Elephas maximus indicus: one gene and its partners. The protein of the gene in region 1 purifies or fractionates together with the protein of each later gene. This does not show direct contact. Links are inferred from orthologs where the notes say so. Each region holds a gene or a part of one and is shown in the gene's direction. Other genes may lie near its edges.

Region 1 (7,609 bases):
TAGAATGAAGTAAGCTATAATTATTATTTTGGAAAGAACTTAACACAGCTATAACTTATTATTTGGTGGTATAACCTTATCTGAAATAAGGTGGAATGCAAAAGAATATTGGAAAATGAGGCATCAGAGATTAGACATTAGTAAGGTAAGACCGCACTTCACAAAAGAGAAAATCCAAATGTCTAGTAGATATATGAGACGGTCCTCAGCAGCATCAGTAACTAGGGAAATGCAAGTTAAAAGCACAATGAGATACTACTACACACCCATCAGACTGGCGAAACTGAAAACGACTGACATTAGTGAGTGTAGTTGAGGGTAGGGAACAATGAGATGCAGACACAGCTGGTGGGAGTGTAACATTTTAGAAAATAGCATGGCATTATTTATTCGAGTTTGGTGATACGTATAACCACTCCCAGGTGTATATATTAGAGAAATTGAGGTAGATATGGTAGAAGACATATATGAAGAATGTTTACAGCAGCAGTGTTTATAAGCCTGCAAATGGAAACAACCCAGATGTCCATCAACAACCGAACAGCTAAATAAATTGTGACATGTTGCTACAATGGAACCCTGTAATGTGCACCAATGAAAAGGGATAAATTACAGCTAAATGCAACAACATGGATTAAAATCAATGTTTTGAGAAAAAGAAGTACAATAGATTACACGCTATGTAAATATGTAGTCCCTGTTAAATAAAGTTCAAAAGAAAGGGCAAAACTGAACAATATATTGTTTAGGGATGCATGCTTGTAATAAAATAAAGGAAAGTGAGGAAATGGTTATCATGAAAGTTAGAATAATGGTTACCTAGAGCAGGGAGGGCAAGTTATGGTCAGGAAAGGTCACCAGGGGGCTTTGGGTATACTTGCAATGTTCCAATACTTGACCTGGTTAATTGGTTACATGGTGGTTTCCTTCATCATCACTCAATGTACTGTATAACTGTTTTATGCATTTTTATGTATACTTCACAATGAAAACGCTAAAATTGATGTACTAGATGAATTGCATATGGTATCTTTTAGAAATAAGCTATTTTGCTGAATAATTTAGCTTATTACATCTTTGACAGTAAAAACCACTGATGTGGGATATTAAAACCTTGATTAAATAGTTTCTAAGACCTCGCTTTCGTGGGTTAGCGGTAAAAAAACACTATACAGCTATCCCTTTGTTATGTTTTACCATGATACGCAGATCTTTGTCATGAACAAATTGATGAAACAGGAAGACCTGTTACCTAAACTTCAGATTTTTGAATTCTGAGTTAACTAGCTCCTCTGAGTTAATAAGCCACACAAGGAACAAAAGTAGAAATTGGAAATGTTCCTCCTCTCTAGTCACCAGTTCCAGCTGTTCCCTCCTGTTATGGTGGGTGGTAAGGTGGGCCGATCTTGCCTAGTAAGATTGGTGCAGCTGTTGCTTCGTAAGTAGGTGTCTCAGAGCTCTCCTCAGTGACGTTCTATCAGCTCTGAGGCTCTGAGGTGCAGTCACTGACAATACAAACAGATGGGGCTGCTGGAGAATCCTGTGCGGCTCTTCTGGAGATGCACCCTGCTGGCCTGTGGAAGGAACTCTGATGTTTGCACTCTTCTCATTTAAAGCCCCAGGAGCTAAAAATCTGAGTTGTTCAGTTTCACAAACTCTCCTAAGCCTGTGTTTTTTACTCATTCAATTTCCACCATTCCCCTACTGTACGACAGGAAGAGGGACAAAAACCAAAGATTTATTTTGTAGCCATTTGGGGCCGCTGCTTGTTTGTCTGACTTCCTGTGAGTCTTATTTGGAAGGATACAGCAAGGGATTGGTTAGGTAAAGACAATCAAATGCAGGGTATTTATCCTGGTTCTTGGGACTTGAGGTCAAGAACGGTAGGGTCAGATGCTGCTTTGTGAGTCATGCCTTGCTTCTGGAGTGCCTCTCATCCCCTTCTCTGCAACATTTAAATAAAAATGAATCCTTGGATTTGCCCAGTTAGAGGTTTCCTTAGTCTACAGTTTGCATATGGTGGTTGCCGTAGTACCCCAAATCTGCCAGCTTCTATCCCCCAGCTGGAAATACCCATTACTGCTGCTTCCAAGGAGGTAAGGTGTGTGCGGTTCAGCGACAGAACTATCTAACCTGCTTCCTTTCATCATTCCTCCTGCTTTTAGCTCCTTCTCACACTAGCCACCAGGTCAGGTTCAAGACAGATTTCTTAGAATTCTGATCCTTTTCTTCTTCCCCTAGAGAACTACACTTTTAACTTCATGAATTTTTACTTGAATTTATTTTCTAAGCTAACATTTGTCGGAAACGCTGCGTAACAATAATAATATTTATTTCAGAAAAAAAAAGCCTTTGAGTCAGATCTAAAACACATGCCAAGATTTCTTTAAGAGCTTAATGGACACTGAACGACAACCAAGACCAGTCAAGAAGCTACAACCACAGGCAAGAATGATTTTACTAAAAGTGAGGCAGTGCTAAATTCTCCCCTGGAAAAAGTCTGAAATCCTTCTACAATCTCCCAGAGGCTGGCTCTCTTCGAATTCCCCTCTCTCCTGCCCCACCAACGATCTACGGGAGGCTGGCTCCCTTTTACCCCCTCCACCCCACAGCAATTCTCCTCCTTTTTCAACAAAGACTCAGGTCGTGACTTCGTACTCAAGCCGCACCACTATGTAGTTCCATAGGAGGGGGGTACATTACAACTCTCATCTTTATAATGCATTGCAGTTTACAAAGCGCTTGCACTTCCATCATCTCCTCTGAGCTCCTCCAGTGACTCGTGAGGGAGGCATTCATTCATTCATCAAACATCTGCTTGGCCCGACCACAAGCTATCGAGCGCTGCGTCTCATCCCACACCATGGGAAGAGCGGGGCGCTCGCTCCTCCGAGCAGGTGTAGCGAAGCAGTCTACAGGACAACTTCTCGCTCAGTCCGGCTCAGGGCCCCTTTTGGGCCAAATGCCTCACCTTTGGGTGATGCACGCCCGAGCGCAGTCGCACGGCCTGGGCCTCCTCCTAGCTCCCAAAGGAGCAGTCACCACTTGCCCTGAAGGAAACCGCTACAGAGCAAGCTCCCTCGCCGCTCTCAGGTCAGGGGTAAGATCAGGCGGCAGCTTAGGCTCGACTCGGCTCCTCCCCTTCCTCTCTTCAGTTCTGACGCGGCCGCAGAGGCGGCGGCGGCGGCGGCGGCGGCCGCAGCGAGTCCCGCGGCCCGAGGCGCACCCACCCGCTCGCCGATCCCCGACTTCCTCTTCCCTTCGAGCGTCATCAGAGCGCGTCAGAGTTGCCCAGGGCGGGGTGGGTGGAAAGGGAAAAAAAAGGCCAGCGGCGGAAGCCTCAGAGCGGAAAAAAAGGGAGGGGGGACGAGAGCGGTTGCTAGGTGACTTGCGTCATCGACATGCGCCACTTTCCTCCCGCCCCTCTCTCTAGAGTGAGGCGAGAGCTCCGCACAGAGCGAGCAACACTGCGAGCCGAGCTCCCGGCGCTACCGCCACCGAGAGAGTGAGAGCGAGGGAGCGTCCGAGAGACCCAGCCTCTGTGCACTGGCTACCGCCGAGACCTCCGTCCTAGCCTGGGCCAGCAGGAGCCGCGGCCGCCCCTCCTCACCCCCCCTCACCTTCCCGGCCGGCAGCGGCGGCTGCACACGCCGGAGCCCGAGCCCGAGCCGGAGCCGGAGCCGGAGCCGGCGGCTGGGGGCAGGGAGGCGGCGACCGCGGGCCGGGGCTGGGCAGCTTCTCCGCGCTGAGAGGACGCTGAGGAGTGGCCGGAGCTTCTGCCTCGTCCCGGGGCGTGAGTGAGGGACTCCCAAGGTGCAGGGAGGGGGTCTCAGCCGCAGCGACACATGCGGGAGCCGGGAGCGGGGGCGGCGCCGAGCGGAGCCGGCCGGGTCCCTCGTCTCGCCGCCGCGTCGTGTACCTGCCCGGGGCCGTAGCATCTCGCCCGGGAGTGTATGAGCCGGGACTCCAAGCTCAGAAGCCACCCCCCGATTGGGGGGGCGGGGACCCCGATGTGAAGCGGCGGCCGGGGCGGCGAGGAGAGCAGCACCGGCGCCGCCGACCTTCCCCTTCCCCTCAGCCCCCTCGGGGGCCTTCTCCGTTGGCTAGTCGCCGGCCCCCCGGCTCCTCGCAGGGCTCCGGGAGGAGTTCTCAGCGCCCCCTCCCCCGCCCCAGCCCCAGGGCGGCGGGGCCGGGGGGGACCCGGGGGGCCGGCCGCAGCCTCCGCCCAGAGGAAACTTTTTATAAAAACAAAATTCGGCGCCTTCAGACGTGACTGTCTCGGGTGAAGTGGCCCTGGAAGGGCAGAAGCCACAGCCTGACGAGACCCGGGAAGAGGAAAAGAGGAGGTAAGCGGGGCCACCGCCGCCTCTCACTCGGCCGCGCGGAAGAGACCCGGGTGGCCGCCTGGTTTAGAGACACTAGCACCGCTGCTTCCTCAGTAACGCGCCGGAGCCTTCCGCAGCCGCCGCCTCAGTCCGGAGGAGGAAGGGAACCAACCCACTTTCTCAGCGCCACGGTCATTACTCTTCGCTCCTCAAGTGTGAGTGGCCCTGGGGAAGGGAATTGGGGGGCGGGGGGTGTGAGAAGATGCGGGTGTTTTTTCCTGGGGTTTTGCTGATGTTCTCCAGGTGTCCTGGGGGCGTATCGATGAGAGTGTTGCCTGTATTCCCTACAGAGGGGAGATGGTATTAGGTAGTCTTGTGTTTTGTAACCTTGTACCTCTTTGTACGAGTTTTGCCAAGTTTACAGAATTCTCTTAGAGGAGTTCTGTCTTTTCTCCGGAGTGGGTACTTGCACCGGTTTCTGGCCAAAAGGGCAAAAAGAAGCCAGAGCATAGGTGCGCACAAAGAACATCTCCGAAATACACCTTTTCCTGGTACACCGGGTGTGATGCAGTGCTGTAGTTTTTGTTTCTGGGGAGCTCTCACATGGGTTCTCAGGTGGGAACCACTTTCCACAAGCCTCTGAAATTAAGTTTTTCTTTTTTTGCAGTCTTTCTTGAGACAGCTTCATTGATCCAGTTTTTTAATGTTCTCATTTCTATGGTCCAATGTCTGTGTGTAGGGAGGACAGTGTAACAGATTTCAGTTGCTCAGGAAATTCTCAGTTCTTGTGAATCACAACTTATTTGGGTGAGAGCATTTAGTACAGTTTATACAAGTTGTTGCATTTTTGCTTTCACCCAAATGCTTTTTCTTGAGTAGCATATGTCCTAAATGATGGTACTTTTTTATTTGGCAAAATGATTCGAAGTTTTCATTATTTGAGTTATTTTCACTTCTCCATCAATTTAGGAGAAAGTTTTGATATTTAACAGTTTTCAAGAATGATTTTTTTCTTCCGTCATTTTAAAGTTGAAGTCAGTAAGATCTTTGGCTTGTATTTCAGGTAACTTCTCAGAGTACCAAATTAGAGGTGCTTGAAAGTAATTATCATTTGATATATTTATACAGCCTTAAGTGTTAAACATGGAGGGGGATTTTATACAGCAGAACGCAGGTAGTACTGTCTTGGGAATTGTGGTTCATCCAGTCCACTGTTGGAGTTCTCATGGAAGCACTGCTAAGAGATGTTGACTGGGAATGTATGCAAACTTGGGCTTAATTGTCAGTATCCTAAGTTCTCTACTCAGGATCTTGATCAAATTTATTTAAAACTTTCTCAGTGTTTCCATCCTGTACTTTTTTTTTAAGTAGTGAGTTTTTCAGGTTTATTAGTCTCTGAATTATTTAACAGTGCACTTATTTATCTCAAACCTGCATCCTTAAAGTTTCAAAGCATATCCAGAGTTTGTGTTTTGAGAGATGCTAGAAAAAGCTGAAGTTCGTCTTTTCAGTTTCATGATTTTTCTTCTTTACCATCGTCTTTCCCAACTCTTGTCTGTTTTAGAGTAGTTTTTTTCCATCTCCCTGATTACTTTGCTCACTTCTAGAACTTCTCCAACTCTTTTTTTTTTTTTTCTTGAGATACCTGTTGGTGTTATGCTTTTGTAAGGAACTTTAAATTGTATGTATTTTAAATGGCTACTGGGATCACAGTATTGAGTAGTGGATATAGCGTTAGACTTGGAATCAGAAACAAATACCCCTAAATCTGTTCTTATTTTGTGACCTTGGGTAAGTCATGTATTCCATGTTTCACAAAGATATGAGGAAGACAGATCTAGTCTTGCATAGGCTGTATTTTGGAAGAGGGTAGGACAAACCAACAAACTGTAGTTGAGTGTAGATTGTACTTGATCAGAATTGCTTACCGAGTTTAACCCAAACCAAACCCTTTGCCACTGAATTGGTTCCAACACATAGCATCCCTGTAGGACAGTAGAACTGCACCGTAGGGTTTCCAAGGGTATAATCTTTTACGGAAGCTGACTGCCATATCTGTCTCGCTGGGTGATGGGTGGGTTCGAACTGCTGAACTTTCAGTTTGCAGCAGAGCGCTTAACCACTGTACCACCAAGGCTCCTGTTTACCAGCTTTAGGACCTGCATTTTATTGCTTTGACTATAGATTGGGTAAAAAACCATGAGAATGTTTTATTGTATATTTTGGTAGCAAAGAAGGACAAAGCAGTAGGGGGTCCCTGTTTTTAAGATGCTTTTCTTTAAGGGCAGTGGAGGCAATCAAACACAAATTGCACAGAATTGTAGGAAAGGGCGAATGAACTAAAGTGTATTTAAGACTACTATATGACTGAGGATCCCTGGTGGTGCAGTGGTTAAGAGCTACGGCTGCTAACCAAAAGGTTGGCAGGTCAACTCCACCAGCTGCTCCTTGGAAACCCAGTGAGGCAGTTCTGCTCTGTCCTATAAGATAGCTATGAGTTGGAATTGACTCCATGGTAATGGATATATGACTGATAACTGTGTTTTGGTACTTTGTAAATGTGAATGTATCTACATTTTTCATTAGGGTAATGTTTGTGCTGGACTGTACAGAACTAATTGGAGTATCTGAGCCAAATCTGGGACAGTCTTTTCAGGGAAGCTCATTTACGTTATGTTTTGGAGAGAAAAGAGCAAGTGGAAAGTGGAATTGGAGACTTCAGGTGGGAGAGGCAGATGTAATTAGGAAGCTAGTTTGATGGGAATACAGAGGGTGGGGTTGCGTATGGTTAGGGTCAGTTTATGTTTGTGCAGATTCATGGGTTATAGCCCAGAAAAGCAGTTGAGAACAATGTTCATGAGTGGGTAGTTTCACATGATTGGGGAGAGATTACATTTTACGCCAAAAGCATTATGCCTGGATTGGGATTTTGTTTTTGTAGGAAACCAAAAGTTTTTTGCCATGGTCACCGAGGGGCTATACGGAGGAAGGAGTGAAAAAGAGCACTGGAAAAGGCCTCCAGTATTTCAGTGTGATGGTAAACAAAAAACAGTCATTGCCATCGAGTCGATTCCAACTCATAGTGACCCTAAAAAAAGAATTTAGTAATAGGACAGTGAACTTTGTTTGGGACATTAAATTCTAAGGTAAAAGTTGGGTATATGGATGTAATCGTACTACAACAAAACAGTGAAACAAACAAGTGAAAAAACAGAGAATGGGTGAGACTCTCCCTAAAATTAGATGTTTTAAAAGTGGATTAGAGTTGAAGTTGAAAAGAAGGC
Region 2 (6,895 bases), on another chromosome or scaffold:
TCACCTTTTATCGCTCAAGAGATGAAAGGGAAGCAAGCAGAGAGTTGGGGAACCTCATGCCACCTAGATAGCAGCACTGGGAGCAGAGCGTGTCCTTTGGACCTGAGGTTCCTGCGCTGAGATGCTCCCAGACCAAGGGAAGACTGAAGACAAGGACCTTCCTCCGGAGCCGACAGAGAGAGAAAGCCTTCCCCTGGAGCTGGAGGCCTGAACGCAGACTTTTAGCCTACTGGACTGTGAGAAAATAAATTTCTCTTTGTTAAAGCCATCCACTTGTATTTCTGCTACAGCAGCAGTAGATGACTAGGACAGTTGCCACCCCCATGACATGTCAACACTCTTCCCTTCTCGACCTTGGATTCCCCGTTACCAGTTTTCCTGTCCCAACCTGCCTTCTCGTCCTTGCCCCTGGGCTGGCGGTGTACCCATTTAGTCTTATTATTTTCTTTTATGGGCCTGTCTAATCTTTGGCTGAAGGGTGAACCTCAGGAGTGATTTCAGGACTGAGTTAAAAGGGTGTCCAGAGGCCAAACTCTCTAGGTTTCTCCAGTCTCTGTCAGACCAGTAAGTCTGGTCTCTTTTTTTGTGAGTTAGAATTTTGTTCTACTTGTTTCTCCAGCTCCGTCTGGGACTGTCTATTGTGATCCTTGTCAGAGCAGTCGGAGGCGGTAGCCGGGCACCGTCTAGCTGTGCTGGTCTCAGTCTGGTGGAGGCTGTGGTAGTTGTGGTCCATTAGTCCTTTGGGCTGATCTTCCCCTTGTGTCTTTCTTTGGTTTTCTTCATTCTCCCTTACTCCAGATGGGTGAGACCAGTGGAATATCTTAGATGGCTGTTTACAAGCTTTTTAGACCCCAGACGCTACTCACCAAAGTAGGATGTAGAATATTTTCTTTATAAACTATGTTATGTCGATTGAGCTATATGCCCCCCAAGACCATGATCCCCAGCCCTCAGCCCCGTAATTCGGTCCCTTAGGGAGTTTTGATGTGTCTAGGAAGCTTCCGTGACCTTGCCTTGGTCAAGTTGTGCTGACTTCTCCAGTATTGTGTACTATCTTACCCTTCAGCAAAGTTACCACTTATCTACTGTCTAATTAGTGTTTTTCCCTCCCCACCCCTCCCTCCCTAGTAACCATCAAATATTGTTTCTTTCTGCGCATAAACCTTTTCTTGAGCTTTTATAATAGTGGTCTCATACAGTATTTGTCCTTTTGTGGTGGACTTATTTCACTTGGCATAACGCTCTCCAGATTCATCCATGTTGTGAGGTGTTTCACAGATTCGTCATTGTTCTTTATTGTTGCGTAGTACTCCATTGTGTGTTTATACCATAGTTTGTTTATCCATTTATCTGTTAATGGGCACTCAGGTCGTTTCCATCTTTTTGCTACTGTGAATAATGCTGCAATGAACATGCGTCTGCATTTGTCTATTTGTGTGATGGCTCTTATTTCTCTAGGATCTATTCCTAGGAGTGGTCTATGTTCAACTTTTTTTGAGGAACCAACAAACTGTTTTCCACGGTGGCTGCGCCCACCAGTTTACATTATTCCCACCAGCAATGGATGAAGTTTCCAGTTTCCCCACAACGTTGCCAATACCTGTTGTTTTCTGTTTTTTTCTTATCTCTGACATTCTAGTAGAAGCCTGAGTGGTGCAAGCAGTTTGCCACTGGCTGCTAACCCAAAGGTTGGTGGTTTAAACCTGCCCAGCAGCTCCGCGTAAGAAAAACCTGGTGATCTGTTTCCGTAAAGATTATAGCCAAGAAGACTCTTTGGAGCAGTTTTACTCTGTGACACATGGGGTCACCAGGATTCAGGGGCCAACTCAATGACAACCGACGATGGCTAAGGATGCCGAGCATCTTTTCATGTGCTTGTTGGCCATTTGAATATCCTCGGTGAGATGCCTGGTCTAGATCTTTGCCCATTTTTTAATTGTGTTGTTTGTCTTTTTGTTGTTAAGTGAGCATTCGCTTCTGACGCTACTACCTCTCTCTCCCATCTTCTGAACCTCAACTGTGGGCATAACTCCCAGAGCGAGAAAGCCCAAATCCTTGTGTCCATCCACAGCCTAGTGACGCCCACCCACCTCTACCCTACATCATCCAGGTGCCAGTCTCATCCTTTCCTAAGTCCCGGAAGGGCGTGTGCGTGTGGAGTGTGTGTGTGTGGTGGGGTGTGTGTGGTGTATGGTGTGTGTGGTGTATGGTATGTGTGGTGTGTGTGTGAAGTGTGCTGTGTGTGGTATATGGTGTGTGTATGGTGTACGTGTGTGGTGCATGGTGTGTGTGTGGTGGGGTGTGTGTGTGTGGTGTGCGTGTGATGTACGTGTAAGTGCGAGTGATGGAGGTAGTGCTGGGGCAGAGGTAGCTGGCTCTTTGGGGTGCTGTGGGGGGGTGCTGCGAGTCTGGAGGAATGAGGCATCGAGGTGGAAAGCAGCAAAGCACAGTGAAGGGGCATGACTGACACAGGGGACAAGGCACAACCTCCAGGACAAGAGGAGGGGCAAGAGGCCAACTGAAGATGGCCTTCTCTCTCCTTCATGCTTCCTCCCCTTCATGTCAGCTCCCTATCAAGGCCCTTCACTGAGGCTCCTGTGCTGGTTGGTCAAGTCACCAGAATGACACCTCCTACTGCCTGCGGGGATCCCTGGTGGGAAAGTGGTTAAGAGCTCGGCTGTTAACCAATCGGTCGGCAGTTCGAATCCAGCAGCCTTATGGTCAATTCTCCTGGCGACTCCATATGTTACAGAGCAGAACTTCTCCACAGGGTTTTCTTGGCCGTAATCTTAACAGAAGAAGATCACCAGGGCTTTGCCCCGCTGTACTGCTGGGTGGGCTCAAACTGCCAACCTTTAGGTTAGGAATCTCGTACCAACTGTTCGAGCCATCCAGGGACTTTACATGGGGTCGCCGTGAGTCTGAAATCAGGGCGACAGACTGTTTTTGTTGTTGTTTTTTACTCCTTGCAGCTGGGCTGGGGCCCTGGGTTAGGATTTTCTCTGCACCTCCTTCAGGCACCTGTTTTGTCACCTCCCAACTTCCCCACACTCAATTCTCTCCTTCCAGAGCCTGGCTCCCTGGGGAAGTCTCTGTCGGGGTGCTCTGCCCTGCAGAAAGCTGGGGTCACCTCTTGCCATTTTATTTGTCTCTCTGCCTCCCTCTCCTTCTTTCTTCTTGTATTCCCCAAAATCTGCGTTTTTCCTCGCATCCCTTAAATCCCCAGGGCTGTCTCCCAGCAGCTCCCCTCCCCAACCAGGAAGGGGATTTCCGGGGTCTGGGAAAAGCCTCCAGGTGTTTAGAGGGGCAAAGGCCCCCCAAGGACGTTGGTTGGCGGGGAGCCCGGCCCCCGAGGTCGCGAAGGCGAAGAGACCAGGGCCACGGAGCGTCAGGGTTGGTCGATTGAGCCAGAGGCGCTTTGGTCCCGCCCCCTGGTTGCCAGGACCCAGCCTATCAGCGTCCGGGAGGGTCTGGGCTGCCAGGTGGTTGGGGTGCGGACCGGGGCAGGTGTGTGGGTCGGGGGATGAGGGGTGAGATGGTCGAGAGGGGCTCCCCAGAGATTTCCTGGAGGTCCGTCGCGTCCGGTCTCGGGAGTCCTCGGGCGGCAGCAGCAGACACAGGTCGCCCCCAGACCCCGGGGCCGCCGTCCCTCCCTCCAGCGCGCGCCTCTCCCCCGCCCCTCGGCGCGCCCCCGCCCGCGGCTCCGGCTCTGGTTGGAGCGCGCGCCCGGCCGCCTCCTCGCGCGCACGCCCGCCTCCCCTCCCGCGGCCGAGGGGCGGGGCCGGCCGGCTCCCCCGCGCCGCCGCCGCCGCCGCCGCCCCCTCCCCTTGTTCTTCGGCTACAGAAGCCGCCCAGGCTTCGGACCCGTCCCATCCCAGGCATCCGGTGTGCGAGCGGTAGGCGGCCGGAGCCGGAGGTGAGCGCAGCAGAGCAGGTGGAGGGCCGGGCGCGGGCTGGGCTGGGCGGGGAGGGGGCCAGCCGAGACGCGGCTCTTTGTCTCCTGAATCCGTTCTCGGGCAGCCGGAGCCGCTCCTTCTACCGGCAGGTGCCGGGGTCCCTGGGGAAGGCCGGGGAGGGTGCTCCGGGCCTCCTCCCCTGCTCTGGAGCCCGCGGTGGCTCCCTGTCCCAGTGACTGGCCGTCTGGGTCCCCGAGGGGGCGAGGGTTGGGGGCGTGGATCTCGGGTCCTGGAAGGGAGCAGGAGGGGCAGTGGGGCGGCGGTGGGCCAGGGCGGGCAGGGCTTCCAGCATTTGGGGAAGGTGGTGGGGTTGGGACTTGGAGACAACCAGCTGAAGAGCAGCGCTTGTGGGTGGGTAGGATGGAGGGAAGCGATGGAGGCGCAGGCTGAGGTTCCGGCGCCCGTGAGTGGCGGTGCTGGGGAAAAGGCAGCAAGGACCCTAGTCCCCGCAGGCAGCATCACGGTGCAGGACCTGGGATGCTGATGGGTCACTCTGCTCATCAGGTGCAGGATGGACAAAAGGGACAAGGCCAAGGCTGGGGCCACTGCGCGGACACCGGCTTCTCGCCCTCCTGGCCTTCCGACCCCTAGGCCGCCAGGGTCTCCTCGACCCCCTCCTCCAGTAACCACCGCAGCCCTCCGAGTTCTGGGAGCAGCTGGGCGAAGGCCCCTGGCAGAGCGAGCCGGGGGCATGGGGGGATCCACTCTCCCCAAGGCTGCTCCCCGGGTGGGACCAGCGCAGAGCACCGGGACAGGCACCCGGAGTCCAGGTACCCCAGCCTCTTTCTCCGACCCCAGCCCTATCTCCCCCGCCCCTTTTCCCGAGGCACTAGCCCCACCTCCTGCCTTCCGGGGCACAGCTGATTCGGCTTGTTCCCGCAGCCTCCAGGCCCCCAGAAGCTGCGAGAGTGGAGCGGACCCCTGCCAAGGCTCCGGGCCCGGGCTGTAAGTCTAGCCCGGCACATGCCAGCGGGACAGCCAGGTAACAACATCTCCCCCCGCAAAAAAAAAAGCCCCTAGGCAAGGGTTTGCGTCACTATCTGAAACCTTTTAATTTTACACATAAGTTGAGGGGGCGTTTGAACGTTTGCAGATTCCTGGGCGCAAGTTGTGTGAAAGCCGTTATTAGTCTGTGGAGAGGGTAAATGCCCCATTTCACAGATGGAAAAATGGAGACTTGGGAGGTCAAACAAGGAGCTAGGGGTCTGCCCTGAGCACTGCCCCTCCCTTCCACAGGGTGGGGCCTGCTGGCCAGAAGGGACTGCGACCCTCAGCTGAGGAGCCTGTGGCCAGAGGAAAAGCCCCGGGGGCTCCCAGAAGGAGCGGCCCTAGCGCCGGGCCGCGGAGAGGTACATGACCTGGGGAGAAGCGAGGTTCCTGGGCAGTGAGGGAGGACCTGTGGTGACCCTTTGGCCCTCTGCTTTGCCTCTAGACTCTTCCAGGCCCACTTCCGGTGCTCCATCCCCGGTCGTCACCCGTCGGTCCCGGTTGCCCGAAGCCGAGGTGGGACTCCCCCTGGCAGCTCCGAGTGCCCGGCCGCGGCCCCTAACCGAGGCCCCCAGGAGATCAGTGAGCAGCGCGGTGGAGCGCAGCGCCGCTGAACCGAGCCCCACCGCCAGGAGGCGGCCCAGTGCTGGCGGGGGCCTCCAGAGGCCAGCCTTGCGCCCCCTGGGTTCCAGCACTGCCCCTCTGTCCTCTCCAGCCCGCTCCGGGGCCTCGGCCCGAGGAACACCGTGGGCTCCGGGGCATCCTTCCCAGTCCCAGTCAAAAGGACCCCAGGGTCTGCGCCCCCCGCAGGCCACACCCCCAAGGAAGGCCGCAGCCTCTGGGCGGAGCCAGTCTTCCCCTTTGGCCACATCCTCTCCGCAGGGTCCGAGCGCACAGCAGGCACCACCTACCCAAATCACTGCCTCCCGGCTGCCTGCCACGCTCCCTCCTTCTCCACCGACCACGCCCCCTCTGCCCGTCAACTTCGGTCTTCAGGCCCTGCCCTCCCCACCAGCAACATCCCCTTCCCACGACCTCACCTGTTTTCTGACCACGTCTCTTCCATTAACTCCTCCTTCCTCTACCCTCCCTCGAACGACCCTCCCCTCTCCACCAGCCACACCCCCTCTGCAAGCTCCACCCTTTTGCCAGGGTAAGTCCTTTACTACTGCCTGCGCCTCTCCCCTGGCCACGCCCACTTTTCTGGCTCCATTCTCTCCATCAGTTTCACCCCCTCTGCAGAGTATGCCCACTACCCAGGCTTCTCTGGCTTTGTCCCCTCTTCCTTCTCCTTTGGCCACACCTCCTTTGTTGGCTCCTTCGCCACCAGCCACACCCCCTCCACAGGCTCCAATCTCTCCGGCAATATTTCCGCTGAACCCGCCCTCTCCTCTAGCCACACCCCCTCTGCAGGGCCTGCCCTCCTCTCTGGCCACGCCCCCTACTCAGGCCCCAGCTCTCTTGTCTCCATCTCCTCTTCAGGCCACGCTTCCGAAGCAGGACCATCTTCCTCTGGCCACAGCTGCTCTGCAGGCTTCTCTCTGTTTCCTGACCACACTCTCTCCGCAGGATCCTTGTCCTTTAGACTCTCCCTTGGCCACACCCCTCCTACAGGTCCCACCTTCTCTGGCTTCACAGCCTCTGCAGGTCCTTCCCTCTCCCTTGGCCACGCCCCCTCCACAAACCACTCCCCCTTCTATGGCCACGCCTCCTCTGCAGGCCGCTTCTTCTCCCCCTGCCTCACCCCTTCTGGGAGCCCCTCCCTCTCACCCAACCTCACCCCCACTGCAGGTGCCTCCCTCTCCCCCTGCCTCATCCCCTCTGGGAGCCCCTCTCTCTCCCCCAGCCTCACCCCCTCTGCAGGCCCCTCACTCTCCCCCTGCCTCACCCCCTCTGCAGGCCCCTCCTTCTCCCCCTGCCTCACCCTTTCTGGGAGCCCCTTCCTCTCTCCC
Region 3 (7,032 bases), on another chromosome or scaffold:
GTTATAGAGCATAAATATGGAGATACTGCAAAGTGTGTGAACACAGAAGAGGAAGTAACTAAATTTACCAGGATGGGGGGGCGGGGGAATTAAGGGAAGGCTCAGCTGGAGGGGTGCTATTTTAGAGGAATCATAAAGAATGAGTGGAATTTTACCAGACAGAAAAGGGGCAGGACATCAGGCAGAAGAAAAGAGCATTTGACTTGGAGTCTCAGGACATCTGGATTATAGTTTTCTTTTCATAGCTATTATTTGAGCAAATAATTTATCCCCTTGGGACTTACTTAAAAATAAGAAGCTTGTATTGACACCCTCTAAAGTCTCTTTTAGCCCTAATGTTCAAGGGTGTATTAGTTTCCTAGGGCTGCCTTAACAAATGACCACAAAGTGGGTGGCTTACAGCAACAGAAATTTATTCTCCAACAGCTCTGGAGACCAGAAGTCCAAAATCGAGGTGCAGGCAGGGTTGGTTCCTTCTGAAGGCTTTGATGGAGAATTCATTCCAGCCTTTCTGTAGGTTTTGGTGGCTGCCAGCAATTCTCGGCCTCCATTGTCACGTCACCTTCTCCTCTGTGCCTCCTTTCCCCTTCTCTTCTCTTATAAGGTCACTTGCCATTGGATTTAGGGCCTACTCCAATCCAGGATGATCTCGTCTTGAGATCCTTACTTCAATTACATCTACAAAGATCCTTTTTTTTCCAAATAAGATCACATTCGCAGGTTCCTGGTGGACATATCTTTTGAGGGCCGCCATTCAACCCACTACAGAGGGCATTCTCCAACTTAAAAGTCTTCAAAAGCTACCCATGGCCTTCAGGGTAAAGTCCAAATTCCAATCATCACATCCAGCCATATTGGACATGTCATAGGCATTTACTCTCTGACTGGAATTGTTGCTGTTGCTGTTGTTGTTGTCACTGCCTTTGAGTTGGCCCCTGAGTCATGGTGACCCCATGCACAACAGAACAAAATGCTGCCTGGCCCTGTGCCATCCCTATGATTGGTTGCAGATCTGACTATTGTGGTCCATAGGGTTTTCATTGGCTGATTTTTGGAAGTAGACTGCCAGACCTTTCTTCTTTCTTAGTCTGGAAGCTCTGCTGAAACCTGTTCAGCATCATAGCAACAGGCAAGCCACCACTCACAAATGGGTGATGGATGCGTACGAAGTGCATTGGCTGTGAATTGAACCCAAGTCTCCCACATGGAAGGTGAGAATTCTACCACTGAACCACCACTGCTCCCATCTGACTGGGATTAGCCTCTCCCTAATTTTCTGTGTAATTGGCTACCTAAAGGTTAGTAGTTCGAACCCACCCAGCAGCTCCATGGAAGAAAGGCCCGGCAAACTGCTTCTGTAAAGATTATAGCTAAGAAAATCCTATGGAGCAGTTCTAACTTTCTAACACATGGGGTTGCCATGAGTTGGAAATCGACTTGACGGCAACAAGTTGTTTTTTTGTTTTACTTTTCTGTGGGAGTCCCTGGGAGGTGCAGACCTTTAACGCACTTAGCTTCTAATGGAAAGATTGGAGGTTTGGATCCACCCAGGCGCACCTCAGAAGAAAGACCTGGCAATCTACTTCCAAAAAATCAGCCGTTGAAAACCTTATGGAGCACAGTTCTACTCTGGCACCCATGGGGTCACCATGAGTTAGAATGGACTCAATGGCAACTGATAATTCTCTGTGGATTCAAATCCTTCAGGGTAAACTTAAATGTTACCTCCTCCAACATGTTTTCCTCTCCCCAATCAGAATTATTCTTCCTACCCTCTAAACCCACTGCCATCGAGTCGATTCCAACTCACAGCGACCCTATAGGACAGAGTAGAACTGCCTTTCGTACTTTTATTATAGCACTCTAGCTATCTCATCTCTAAGAGGTGATACCCTACTAAAAGAATATCGATTCTGGAGTCAAGAAGGGATTCTAGTTCTTCCTCTGTTACTCACTGGTTGTTAGGTGCCATCGAGTCGGTTCTGACTAATAACGACCCTATGTACAACAGGACGAAACTGCCCAGTCCTGAGCCATCCTCACAATCATTGCTATGTTTGAGCCCATTGTTGCAGCCACTGTGTCAATCCATCCCCTTGAGGGTCTTCCTCTTTTTCACTGACCCTCTGCTGACCCTGGTGGTGTAGTGGTTAAGAGCTGTGGCATACCTTTCCAGATTTTGAACCACTTAGTATCCCCGTGTTCTGTCCGAACAACTGCCTCTTGATCTATGTGCAGGTTCCTCATGAGCACAATGAAGTGTTCTGGAATTCCCATTCTTCGCAATGTTATCCATAATTTGTTATGATCCACACAGTTGAATGCCTTTGCATAGTCAATAAAACACAAATAAACATCTTTCTGGTATTCTCTGCTTTCAGGCAAGATCCATCTGACATCAGCAATGATACTCCTTGTTCCACGTCCTCTTCTGAATCCAGCTTGAATTTCTGGCAGCTCCCTGTTGATGCACTGCTGCAACTGCTTCCGGATTATCTTCAGCAAAACTTTACTTGCGTGTGATATTAATGATATTGTTTGACGATTTCCCCATTCTGTTGAATCATCTTTCTTTGGAATGGGCACAAATACGGATCTCTTCCAGTCAGTTGGCCAGGCAGCTATCCTCCAAATGTCTATGAATAGACAAGTGAACGCTTCCAGCGTTGCATCCGTTTGTTGAAACATCTCAACTGGTATTCAGTCAATTTCTAGAGCCTTGTTTTTCACCAATGTTTTCAGTGCAGTTTGGACTTTGATCATATGCTACCTCCTGAAATGGTTGAACATCGATAAGTTCTTTTTGGTACAGTAACTCTGTATTAGCTGTATAATATTGGGCAAGTAAATCAGCTTCCTTACCTGTAAATGGGGACAATAATAATCCCTAACTCATGGGGTTGTTTGTGGATTAAATGAGATAATGTTTGAAATTCATCTAACATTTAATAGGTGCCTCTCACTTTTTTTTTTTTTCTCGCTAGAGCGATGGTTCTTAACCTGGGATTCATGGCCACTTAGGGAATACATAGATGAGCTTTGGGGATCTAAAAATATTCCTGGAAAATATCTGACATTTTGTATGTCCATATGTGCATTTTTCTGGGAAGAAGGCCCATAGCTTTCATCAGCATCTTGAAGGGCTTGTGAATCAAAAAAGATTAAGAACCTCAACACTAGACCATATGAAGGCTTCTCCAGGTTAGAGAAGGAGCCCTGGTGGCGCAGCGGTTAAAGCCATGAGTGCAAACCGAAAGATTCAAAAAAAAAAAAAAAACCTGTTGCTGTTGAATCGGTTCTGACTCACAGCAACCCTACAGGACAGAGTGGAACTGCCCCGCGGGGTTTCCAAGGAGCGGCTGGTGGATTACCAACTGCCGACCTTTTGGTTAGCAGCTGTAGCTCTTAACCACTGTCACCGGGGCTCCTAACTGAAAGCCTGGCGGTTCCAAACCATCAGCGGCTCCGCGGGCGAAAGATGTGACAGTTTGCTTCCTTAAATATTTACAGCCTTGGAAACCCTGAGGGGGTCCCTATGAATGAGAATCTATTCAACCGCAGTGGGTTTTTTTCTTTTTAGAGGATAGAGACAGCCTTTCAGGGCTTGATAGGTGCTTTCTTATGCATACATAGTTTTTAGTCTTCTCAACAGTCCTTTGAAGAACATAACAGTATGCTCACTTTTCAGTTGCAGAAACGAAGAAGTAGCTTGTAGAAGGCAGTTTCGAATCACTGCGAATAATTATTGAGAAGCTTTTCTAGGCCAAGAACTGAGGTAGGCGCTGGGAACCCAATTTCAGTCACAGCTCAGAACCCTGGTTCAGCACCACGGCTGCCTCCGCCTTTGGAAGTTTGTATCTCCAGCACAGTACTTGGCTCAAGAGCGTTTCACAGACTTTTTTTGCTGGGTGAAATAGATTTTCCGCCGCTCGGTAGGAAAAGCTTTCTGGGCACGGAGCTCCACCCCACGCTGGGCCGGCCCCGCCCCCACTGCAGTCGGTATTGTCGGACGGTTCCCGGTGTCCCTCGGGTTCACTCGGTAGTTTCCGGCAGTGATCGAGAGTTTGTAACGTTCCCCCTCGTTGTCTCTCGGCCGCGTCCCCCCAACTGCCGCCCCCCTTTTCGGCTCCCTCTCCCCCTTTTCCCCCGCCTGAGCCTATCCCTGCTGGCGCTTCTGGCGCTACGGGCTGGGCAAAATGGCGGCCTTCGGGATCTTGAGCTACGAACACCGGCCCCTGAAGCGGCCGCGGCTGGGGCCTCCCGATGTGTACCCTCAAGATCCCAAACAGAAGGAGGTGCGTTCATTAATCGGGGCTCTTGCGGGACTAGGGACAAGCGATCAGCACAGGAGGAGGCATTGACGGCTTGGGGGAGGGGGCGAGGCGATTAGGTGGGAGCAAAGTCCCGAAAGGGGGAAGAGTAAAGTGGGGCGGTGTGGGAGAGTAGGACCTAGCTATGGGGGCTTCTGGCTATAAATAGGGAATGATGTAGGGGCCACACCAGAGGCATCCCCCCACACGTATACACATACGCTTCAGAAAGTTGTCTGACGGTAGCTTGGTGAGGTAAGGCTGTTCTCTAGGGAAGAGTGATGTTGAGGGAGTACTGGGTGGTTGGGAATCTTAGTGACTGAGGAGGTGAGGGTGGGGTCCAAATGAGTAAAAGAGCCTAGCCTTAAATAACAATCTATTTTACTCAGAATCATCCTTCTACCCTTTTTCCTTGTACCTTCCCTCCCCTTGCCCTCCTCTTTCACCCTTCCTACGCCCAGGGGGGGAAAAAAAGCTAAAATGTCATTTTCCTGCCTTAGGATGAACTGACGGCTTTGAATGTAAAGCAAGGTTTCAATAACCAGCCTGCTGTCTCTGGGGATGAACATGGCAGTGCCAAGAACGTCAACTTCAATCCTGCCAAGGTGAGGCAACCCTGCCAGACTGAAGGGAAAAGGCTGGAAGAATCTGAGAAGGAGCAAAAGCCCTGGGTTGGGAAGACTTAAAGAGACAATCTAAATGGCTGAGTTTTCCATTGTAACCTAATGCCACAACAATGGTATTTGTATATCAAAGGCACAACCAACCACCTATCTGCCCCTTCTTCCCACCCTGAGGTATAGTTTTCTTCCCTCAGATCAGTTCCAACTTCAGCAGCATTATTGCAGAGAAGTTACGTTGTAACACCCTCCCTGACACTGGTCGCAGGAAGCCCCAAGTGAACCAGAAGGACAACTTCTGGCTGGTGACCGCACGATCCCAGAGTGCCATTAACACCTGGTTCACGGACCTGGCTGGCACCAAGCCACTCACACAACTAGCCAAAAAGGTGAGATACTCTTTCCTGTTCTTCGGGCCAAGGGGGGAGTGTGGATACCAAGTATGCTGCTATTCCCATATTAAGCTACATCGATACCAGCTCATGGGGTAATAGAAACCTCACTATTTGTTATGTCCATCCAGGTCCCGATTTTCAGTAAGAAGGAAGAAGTCTTTGGGTACTTAGCCAAATACACAGTGCCTGTGATGCGAGCCGCCTGGCTTATTAAGATGACCTGTGCCTACTATGCAGCAATCACTGAGACCAAGGTTAAGAAGAGACATGTCATTGACCCCTTCATGGGTGAGTAACTCCTAACACCAGGTGTATCACTGACCCTTTCTAAGAATGATAAATCCTTGGAATTATTCTCTTTCCTAAACTATATTCCATTCTTCCGCTTGTATCTTGCATTCACTCAATTAGTAAACATTGAGTATCTTGAGTATAAGTAATATGCACGTACTGGGCTATAACGATGACTAGTACATAATTCCTGCCCTTCGCGTGCTTATTGTCTAGTAGGGATGTTAAGGCACATGTACAAATAACATAATTAAAATATAGAAAGTAGCAAATGTTAAAAGAGGAGGCAGAAAATTCTTTGAGACTTCAGTCAGCAAAAAGTTTACTTTCTTTGGTGGACAACTGGGAAGGCTTTAGGAAGGTGGCATTTGACTCTAGCCTAAGAAGTTGAATAGGATTTATAAGTATGTGATTGGGGGTGGGGGTAGGGGACAGAAGAAATTCTACACAGAGGGACAGTATAAAATAGCCTCTTCTATCTTTCCTCTAGAGTGGACACAGATCATCACCAAGTACCTATGGGAGCAGCTGCAGAAGATGGCTGAGTACTACCGGCCAGGGCCTGCAGGAAGTGGCAGCTGTGCTTCCACTATCGGGCCTTTGCCCCATGATGTGGAGGTGGCAATCCGGCAGTGGGATTACAACGAGAAGCTAGCCATGTTCATGTTTCAGGTAGGGAGTAGGGCATGTAGTGTGTGGGGCATCGAACTGAGCCTTACCTTGCTTTGCTCTCTGCCAGTATAGAACAGAATCAGCCAACCACCTTGCTCCTGTTGTGGTTTCTTTCATCCTTTCATTTGCTTTTTTTTTTATAATTTTTATTGTGCTTTAAGTGAAAGTTTACAAATCAAGTCAGTCTCTCACACAAAAACCCATCTACACCTTGCTACACACTTTTTTTTTTAATGAGACAGCCCACTCTCTCCCTCCACTCTCTCTTTTCGTGTCCATTTCACCAGCTTCTAACCCCCTCCGCCCTCTCATCTCCCCTCCAGGCAGGAGATGCCAACATAGTCTCAAGTGTCCACCAGATCCAAGAAGCTCACTCCTCACCAGCATCCCTCTCCAACCCATCGTCCAGTCCAGTCCCTGTCTGAAGAGTTGGCTTCGGGAATGGTCATTTACTTTTCCTGCCTCATCTCTAATAGTCCCTAGACTGAACTAATACTCTTCCCACCCCGGTACCTATAGGATGGAATGCTGGACAGGCATGAGTTCCTGACCTGGGTACTTGAGTGTTTTGAGAAAATCCGCCCGGGAGAGGATGAGTTGCTTAAACTGCTGCTGCCTCTGCTGCTTCGGGTAAGGCACTAGGACTTGGAGGGGGTTATAGGGGGGACTTGAAGGATAAACTTTAGAGCAGTGTCCCTTGGAGAGAACAAGAGGTTCTGATTGTCATGTTTTCACAGTACTCTG
Region 4 (7,522 bases), on another chromosome or scaffold:
CGAAGCAAAGCACGTCCTTTGGACCCGGGATCCCTGTGATGAGAAGCTCCTAGGCCAGGGCAAGATTGATGACAAGGACCTTCTTCTAGAGCCAGCAGAGACAGAAAGCCTTCCCCCGGAGCTAGCGCCCTAAATTCTGACTTCTAGCCTACTGGACTGTGACAGAATAAACTTCTCTTTGTTAAAGCCATCCACTTGTGGTATCTCTACTATAGCAGCACTAGATGACTAAGACAGCAGCCATGCACCAGCCAGGCACCGCATACAAAGCAAACAATCTTCAAATGGTTGCTGCATCCTCTCTTGCATCCCTACAGTCGCTTCTTCACAAGAGTCACTGTCAGTCCCCTACCTTAAACCCTCCAATGGCTTCCCATAACCTTTGTAATAAAATCCCCACCTTAACTGGCCTTTGCCTACGTCCCTGACATCTCTTACCACTCTTGCCTTGTTCAATAAGCTCTAAATTTATTCACTGAACACATACTGAGCATGAACAATGTGACCAGTTAACAACCAAAAATACCTATTCTTGGTGAGGACACACTATAAACAATAAACCTAATACAGTAGTAAATGACAAAGTAAAGTAGAAGGTGTTCCGACTCAGACCACTCCATGTGACAGAGTAGAGCTGCCTCATAGGGCTTTCTAAGCTGAAATCTTTACGGAAGCAGATTTCCAGTCTTTCTCCCCTGGAGCTACTGGGTAGGTTCCAAACCACCAACCTTTCTGTTAATAGCTCAGTGCTTAACCATTGTGCCACCAGGGCCCCATTAGAAGGCATACCAAAATCAAACCAATCCCATTGCCATCAAGTCAATTCCAACTCATAGAGACTCTATAGTACAGAGTAGAGCTGCCCCATCGGGTTTCCAAGGAGTGGCTGGTGGATTCAAACTGCTAACTTTTTGGTTAGCAGCCAAGCTCTTAACTACTGCACCACCAGGGCTCCGTTAAAAAGAAAAAAGAAGAAGAAAAAAAAAAGAGCAAAGTGAATGGAGAAGCCGATCATGCAAGACCTTTTAAATCGTCATAAGGACATTGGCATTTCTGGAGTAAAATGGGGAGCCACTGGAGAGTTTTCTGAAGACAAGTGGATCTGACTTATACTGTAAAATTAGATCTGTGGGCTGCTCTGTAAAGGGAGGGCAAAAAGGCTAGAAACAGGAGACTAGCTAGAGATTATTGCAGTAATTCACATCAGAGCGGTCACAGATGGTGAGAAGCATCAGATTCTGAGTACGATTTGAAGGTATAGCCAACAGAATTTTTTCTTTTGTATTTTTCTAAATTGTGCTTTAAGTGAAAGTTTACAATTTCTCATCCAAAAATTTAGACACACATTGTTATATGACCCCAGTTGCTCTCCCTACAATGTGACAGCACACTCCTCTCCACCCTGTATTTCCCAAGTCCATTCAACCAGCCTGTCCCCCTCTGCGTTCCCATCTCGCCTCCAGACAGAAGCTGCTCAGTCTCATGTGTCTATACTTGAGCTAAGAAGCACACTCCTAACCAGTATAATTTTGTGTCTTATGGTCCAGTTCAGTCTTTCCAACAGAATTTCTTGATACAACAAGGGCACGTGTTGAGAAAAAGGAAATCCAAGGATGACTCTAAAGTTTTTGGCTTGAGCAACTGGAAGGATGGAGTTGCTATAAACTAAAATGTGGAAAACTGTAGATAAAACAGGTTTTGGGCCATCGGAAGGTCAGTTTGGGCATGTCAAGTTTGAGATCTATGGACTTCAAAGTGGTGATGTTAAGTGGCCTGCCACATATAGAAGTACAAAGGCTGAAGATATAAATTTGGGGATTATTTGTATGTAGACATTACGTTAAAGCCATGGGAAGAAATCACCCAAGGAAGTAAATGTAAGTGAAAAAGAGGATTGAGAACCTAGCCCAGTTGCCAACAAAGGAGATTGAGATGGTGTGGTCTGTGAGGTAGGAGAAAATGGAGAGGAGTATGGAGTTCTGGAAGCCAAATCCAGCCTTCTGTTTCTCAAGCCCATTCCTGCCTCGGGGCCTTTGCACTTGCTCTTTCCTCAGGTTCGGCTGCAGCTAAACGTCACCTTCTCACAGAGGCCTTTCCTAATCACCTGACTTAACACTGCCCTCTCTTCCCCTCAATCTCACCCTGTTTTGTTTTCTTCATAGGACTTACCTCTCTACCTGAAGTTTTCTGCTCTTGACTTTGTGTATTACTTCTCTACTAGAAAGGTCTGACTCCATCATCACTGTGTTTCTCCTATTAACAATAGGGCCTGGTACATCGTAGGTAAGGAGCCCTGGTGCCGCGATAATTAAGTGCTCAGCTGCTAACTGAAAGGTCAGCAGTTCAAACCCACCAGTGGCCCCAATGGCGAAAAGACCTCGTTATCTGCTCCTGTAAAAATGACAGCCTGGGAAACCCTATGGGGCAGTTCCACTCTGTCACATAGGGTCACTAGGAGTCAGAATCGACTCGACGGCACACAGCAACATGTAGTAGGTACTCAATGAATTTGTTGAATGGTGAATAATGAAGTCCTCAATACCTTAATCTTATATGGGTTTCTAGAAGTTATGCAGGAGTATGTTGTTGTTAGGTGCCGCTGAGTAGGTTCCAACTCAACAGCTACCCTATGTACAACAGCATGAGCCACTTCTGGGTCCCGCACCGCCCTCACAATGGTGGTTATGCCTGAGCCCATTGTTGTAGCCGCTGTGTCAATCCATCTCGTTGAGGGTTTTTCTCTTTTTCCCTGACCCTCTATTTTACCAAGCATGATGTCCTTCTCAGGGGACTGGTCCCTCCTGATAATATGTCCAAAATATGTGAGACTAGTCTTGCCATCCCTGCTTTTAAGGACCATTCTGGTTATGCTTCTTCCAAGACAGCTCCATTCATTCTTTCAGCAGTCCATGGTATAGTCAGTATTCTTTGCCAACACCATAATCCAAAGGCATCAGTTTTTTTGGTGGTTTTATCCATTGTCCAGCTTTAGCATGCGTACGAGGCAACTGAAAACACTATGGCTTGGGTCAGGCACACCTTAGTCTTTAAAGTGACATGTTTGCTTTTTAACACTTTAAAGAGTTCTTTTGCAGCAGATTTGCCCAACGCAATGCCTCTTTTGATTTCTTGACTGCTGCTTCCATGGGTATAGGAGTCCATAGGCACACAATAAATTAGAGGGCATAAATTTTAACATGGAATCATTAACAAAACAGGCTATGAAAAACTTTGTCGAGTTCCTATAATGCCTTAAGGTCTCCCACACTTTTTCTCTTTCCACATCTGGTCAAAACTGTGGTAGCATTTTCACGGATTTGTTGTTCTTGTTTATGACTAAGACAAGGAAACAAATCGCAGTTCTTCCGGTTTAGCAATGGAGTATAACAGACTCCACTGCTCTCCAATTTTCTTCTAAGAGAAAATACGAGATTTCAAATAAACCAAGATTTAAGAGTGATTTAGCTGAATCATAGGTCTGCGAAGTTAGAGCTGTAAAAGGGGCGGGGGGGCTCGTCTAGAAATGGGGGAAGACATATGTGTGCTTTGGCTGGGAGAGAATGACCAGGAGACAAATGGCAGTACCCACAAAAAATTAAGAATTACAGTGACTGCAGATGGGTCAGTATGACGATAGCCCAAGGAGCGAAAAGAGGACAGGTATGAGGGAGAAAGGACCTGACTAATGGAGGAGTGGAGAATGGGTCCTCAAGCCTGTGAAGCTGAAGGCGTGCACCTAAAGCAAAGGCTACTCTAGGACTGACGGGTACTACAGGTGAGCTGGAGAGGACATCGCCCGGCTCCTAAGCCTCCTCCATTTCTGGTGGGCAGGGGACGGCAGGGCTGGAGGTTGCCTGATCAGTGATTTGGCCCTGGGAAGGAGGCTCGGGGATCTTCTCTCCCCCCTTCGAACCCCTGAGCGTTTCCCGGATGGAAGTCAGGAAACCAAAAGGCCTCGGGCCTCCGAGGGAGGCTGCACCCCGAGCCTGGCTGGGATGCGGGTCAGGACCTAAGAAAGGCCAGCGTGGGGTCTCGGCAGCAGGCGGCCGCCCGACACTCGCCCCTTCCCTGGCCTAACGCGGCGGGGACCCGGGGCCTCGAGGCCGGCCAGGCGGGGCCGGGCCGCGGCCGCAGGTCGGGCCAGAGGAGGAGGAAGCAGCCGCCGCCCCAAGCAAGGGAGTGGGGCCGGGGGCTTCCTGGGGGAGGGCGAGACAGCGAGGCTTTCGACCGTTTCCCCCGGCTTGCTCACGTCGGCGCGGCCCCGCCCGGCCCCGCCCCAGACCCCGGGCCACCACCTCTTCCTTCGCGGCCGCCAGGCGGGGGGGAAACCGCAGCAGCGCCTTTAAGAGGCGTGGCCATGTGCTCCGCCCCTACTGCCCCGTGCGCGCCAGTGTGGGGTGGGGCGCGGGAGGAGGGGCTCGGGGGTGGGGGGAAAGTGAGGCGTGCACTCCTGCGCTTGCGCAGTGGCCAGACGCCAGACAGTGTGTTTCCAAAATGGCGGCAGCGATGGATGTGGATACCCCGAGCGGCACCAACAGCGGCGCGGGCAAGAAGCGCTTTGAAGTGAAAAAGGTTGGGTCTCGCCAGCGCCTTCCTCAAAGAAGCTAGAGAGGCGCGGATCTGGCTGGCAGGCCCGAGGGTGACCGAGGCGCGAAGGAAAGGGCTTCATTTCAGGGCGTTCCTGGGACCGGGTACACGAAAGGAAGCCGGGGGGCGGGCCTTAGCGTTGATTAGCGTGACGGCGGCCCAGTGTCAGAGGCAGTGTTGGTTTCGCCGTGAAGCAGTGGGGCCAATCACGGAGGCGCTTATTGGGATAGGCGGGGTTGTGATTTGGTTGCGGGAGCCAAGCGCCTGAGCTGTCACTGGAGTGGTTGAGGGGTGGAGGAAGGAGTGGGTGGGGTGAGTGGATGGGGGAGTCGGAGCGACTGCGGTGTGTGGAGGATGGGATAGTGCGGCGAAAGCCGGGAACCCGAGGTCCTACCGCAGTGGAGGCCTTTGAGCCGGGCTGGTGATCCCCTTGCCCCGCCCTTCTCTGTAGCTTGGGAGCCTCTCTGATTCTGAGGGTGCCCTGCTGGTCCTCGCGCAGTCGAGGCCTCCATTAACCCTCTCTTTGGCCTTTACCCCGCTGAGTTAAAGTGTCTCAAGTGAGAAGCTTGGCTCTGCTAAGAAGTCTGTTGGTTTGTTACACAGCACTGCCAGCCCTGTGGTTCCCCGTCACGCTCAGAGTTCCTCCTTACGCTCCCCACCACAAAGAAGAAAGCATAGTGGAATTCGTTAAAATGTGAACCCAAACCTTGTGGCATTTAGGGAGGGTTGAGTGCTAGTAAAGAATGACTTGGTAAAAGTGGGAAAACATGAATGTGGAACGTGTCTTTCTGCATGAAATGCCTTTTAGGCTTGCCAACAGTTTGGGAGAAATGTGTCGATTCCCACCTAAGATAAAATAAATCTGTTCAAAATGAGGATTCTGAAATAGGAAAGGTGTTATTCCTGGACGACCTGTCTGAACACGGACGACATTCCCCATCCAAAGTGCTTTTTGGCGGCTCATTGTGGGCACTGCCTGCTCAATTACAGCCCGCAGCCATGTTGAAGAATAAAAGAACTCGCTTTTTTTTCCCCCCAAGTTGGAGGTGTGGGATGAAAAGTGCTGAAGTTATGAGACACAGAGAGAATTAGGTTTGAAGGAGATGGTGTTGGGGGTGGCACCAAATTAGTGGATGAAAAGGGAGCTTCAGAGTATTTATAGCGGCAGAAGCAGGAAGGTTGAATTAAGTACCACTTTTAGATAAACTTTTGTCAGAATTCTCTTAACAAAACGTAGACGTCTGAGCATGTAAGCGTTGAGAGCATCAGTTTATTTGATGGTAGGAACTAAACAAAGTTCTAGTGGTTTCTAGAGTTGGTTATGGAGTGATTTCATAGGATTCGAGTGATGACCTTGTTATGTGTACTGACACAGTGGGTAGTTAGTTATCCAGCTTATCCCACGATCACCCATGCTATGATCCAGTCATCATCTTAGTTCATTCTGTTCCTAGCTGTCCCCTCCCCACTCAGCCTTCCAAAGCTGCCTTGCAGCACAGGTATTTATGCAGATACTGAGTTCTTATGCAGCTGCCTGGGGAACCTGCACAGTAATGCAAGTTTGTGCTTATTAATGCCAGAACAGGCACTTAAAAATTATTCATGATTTGCTTACATTAATATGACTGATTTAAATTATTTTAAGCTATAGGGAGAAGATCAAAGATGATACATTAAATTCTGCGTTCATACATCAGCCTTTGAGAGATTGGGAGAATATACATGAATTTTACTGTTGTCATTTGATATAATAACTAAGAGTAATATGAAAAAACTGTTTTGTTTGGTGGTCCCTGTGGCCAAAGAGATGGTAACTGCTGCTGCGGTATGCAACTTGAAGTGTGTGTGTGTGTATGTTATGTTACAAGGCGAGTGCATTGTTCCCCTTTTTCTCTTTGCAGTGGAATGCAGTAGCCCTCTGGGCCTGGGATATTGTGGTTGATAACTGTGCCATCTGCAGGAACCACATTATGGATCTTTGTAAGTAATTGGAGGAGGAGGGGAGGAAGTTGAGAAGGTTACAGGGATTGTGGCTATCCTGACGTGACCAGTTTTCTTGGTCACAGAGAGAGTTATAAAGCATAGTCAGAAGTGCTTGGGGTCTTTTGCATTTAGTCTTTTGGTGTGTTTAAAATAGAGTAGGTTTTTATGTTGTCCTGGAGGCATACCCAGCTCTCAAAATAGATCTACTCAATCTAAAGATGGCAAGGCCACATTTAGAATGAATTGTGGACACAGAGGCACTGTTGATGCTTTCTCTTTATGTTTCTTGTCTCCTACCCAGACTCAAAGGCAGAAATAGCAAAAGGAAGAAACTAAACTTGGAGCTAAAATATTCTATCTGAGCTAGTTTTTGCTAGGCAGCATTTATAAAGAAAAACCTAAGAAGTAAGGATTTTTGATTTTAGCCCCAAACGTTGTAAAGAGGATATCACCACCAACTTCTAAATAGGCAATTGCACTAAAGAAATTTTATTTTAATCTCCATATATTTCATTACACATGGTGGTTAACACATACTACATCTGATTATAGCTGTTGACTGGGCAAGAAGGTTGATTACACCAAGAACCAAAAAACCAAACCAAACCCATTGCCATAGAGTCAATTCTGACTCATAGTGACTCTATAGGATAAAGTAGAACTGCCCCATAGGGTTTCCAAGGAACGTTGGGTGGATTTGAACTGCCGACCTTTTGGTTAGCAGCCGTAGCACTTAACCGCTACGCCATCAGGGTTTCTGACACTAAGAACAGTTGAAATTAACTTTTTTCATCCAGGTGTTAAAATGGTTTGTTGTTGAGATCAGACATGGGACAAAGAAACTTTAAGTTTTTAGAATTGAAATTATGGGCATTTACTTTTTAAATAACTTACCTGCCCCTCCAGCTTCTTCAACCACTTTCCCACTCACTATGGTAGTTTCTCTGTCCTC

The links.
Region 2: the proteins of FBXW7 (region 1) and PRR36 purify together in Homo sapiens (affinity purification with mass spectrometry; 3 studies listed by BioGRID and IntAct, counting the BioPlex papers as one, with this or other methods). This does not show direct contact. The link is inferred for Elephas maximus indicus from reciprocal best matches to the Homo sapiens genes FBXW7 and PRR36.
Region 3: the proteins of FBXW7 (region 1) and MED12 purify together in Homo sapiens (affinity purification with mass spectrometry; 3 studies listed by BioGRID and IntAct, with this or other methods). This does not show direct contact. The link is inferred for Elephas maximus indicus from reciprocal best matches to the Homo sapiens genes FBXW7 and MED12.
Region 4: the proteins of FBXW7 (region 1) and RBX1 purify together in Homo sapiens (affinity purification with western blotting; 8 studies listed by BioGRID and IntAct, with this or other methods). This does not show direct contact. The link is inferred for Elephas maximus indicus from reciprocal best matches to the Homo sapiens genes FBXW7 and RBX1.

Annotation. Positions count from the first base shown.
Region 1 is NC_064831.1:31,103,365-31,110,973, forward strand, and holds the start of FBXW7 (F-box/WD repeat-containing protein 7), read left to right. Parts: upstream 1-4,546; 5' UTR 4,547-7,609. UniProt on the Homo sapiens protein: Substrate recognition component of a SCF (SKP1-CUL1-F-box protein) E3 ubiquitin-protein ligase complex which mediates the ubiquitination and subsequent proteasomal degradation of target proteins.
Region 2 is NC_064821.1:12,609,583-12,616,477, reverse strand, and holds the start of PRR36 (proline-rich protein 36), read left to right. Parts: upstream 1-3,848; 5' UTR 3,849-3,916; intron 3,917-4,460; 5' UTR 4,461-4,467; coding exon 4,468-4,726; intron 4,727-4,838; coding exon 4,839-4,938; intron 4,939-5,192; coding exon 5,193-5,305; intron 5,306-5,388; coding exon 5,389-6,895.
Region 3 is NC_064846.1:98,567,350-98,574,381, reverse strand, and holds the start of MED12 (mediator of RNA polymerase II transcription subunit 12), read left to right. Parts: upstream 1-3,966; 5' UTR 3,967-4,196; coding exon 4,197-4,295; intron 4,296-4,810; coding exon 4,811-4,915; intron 4,916-5,127; coding exon 5,128-5,319; intron 5,320-5,453; coding exon 5,454-5,613; intron 5,614-6,106; coding exon 6,107-6,288; intron 6,289-6,807; coding exon 6,808-6,918; intron 6,919-7,025; coding exon 7,026-7,032. UniProt on the Homo sapiens protein: Component of the Mediator complex, a coactivator involved in the regulated transcription of nearly all RNA polymerase II-dependent genes.
Region 4 is NC_064822.1:185,113,823-185,121,344, forward strand, and holds the start of RBX1 (E3 ubiquitin-protein ligase RBX1), read left to right. Parts: upstream 1-4,461; 5' UTR 4,462-4,494; coding exon 4,495-4,572; intron 4,573-6,488; coding exon 6,489-6,567; intron 6,568-7,522. UniProt on the Homo sapiens protein: E3 ubiquitin ligase component of multiple cullin-RING-based E3 ubiquitin-protein ligase (CRLs) complexes which mediate the ubiquitination and subsequent proteasomal degradation of target proteins, including proteins involved in cell cycle progression, signal transduction, transcription and transcription-coupled nucleotide excision repair.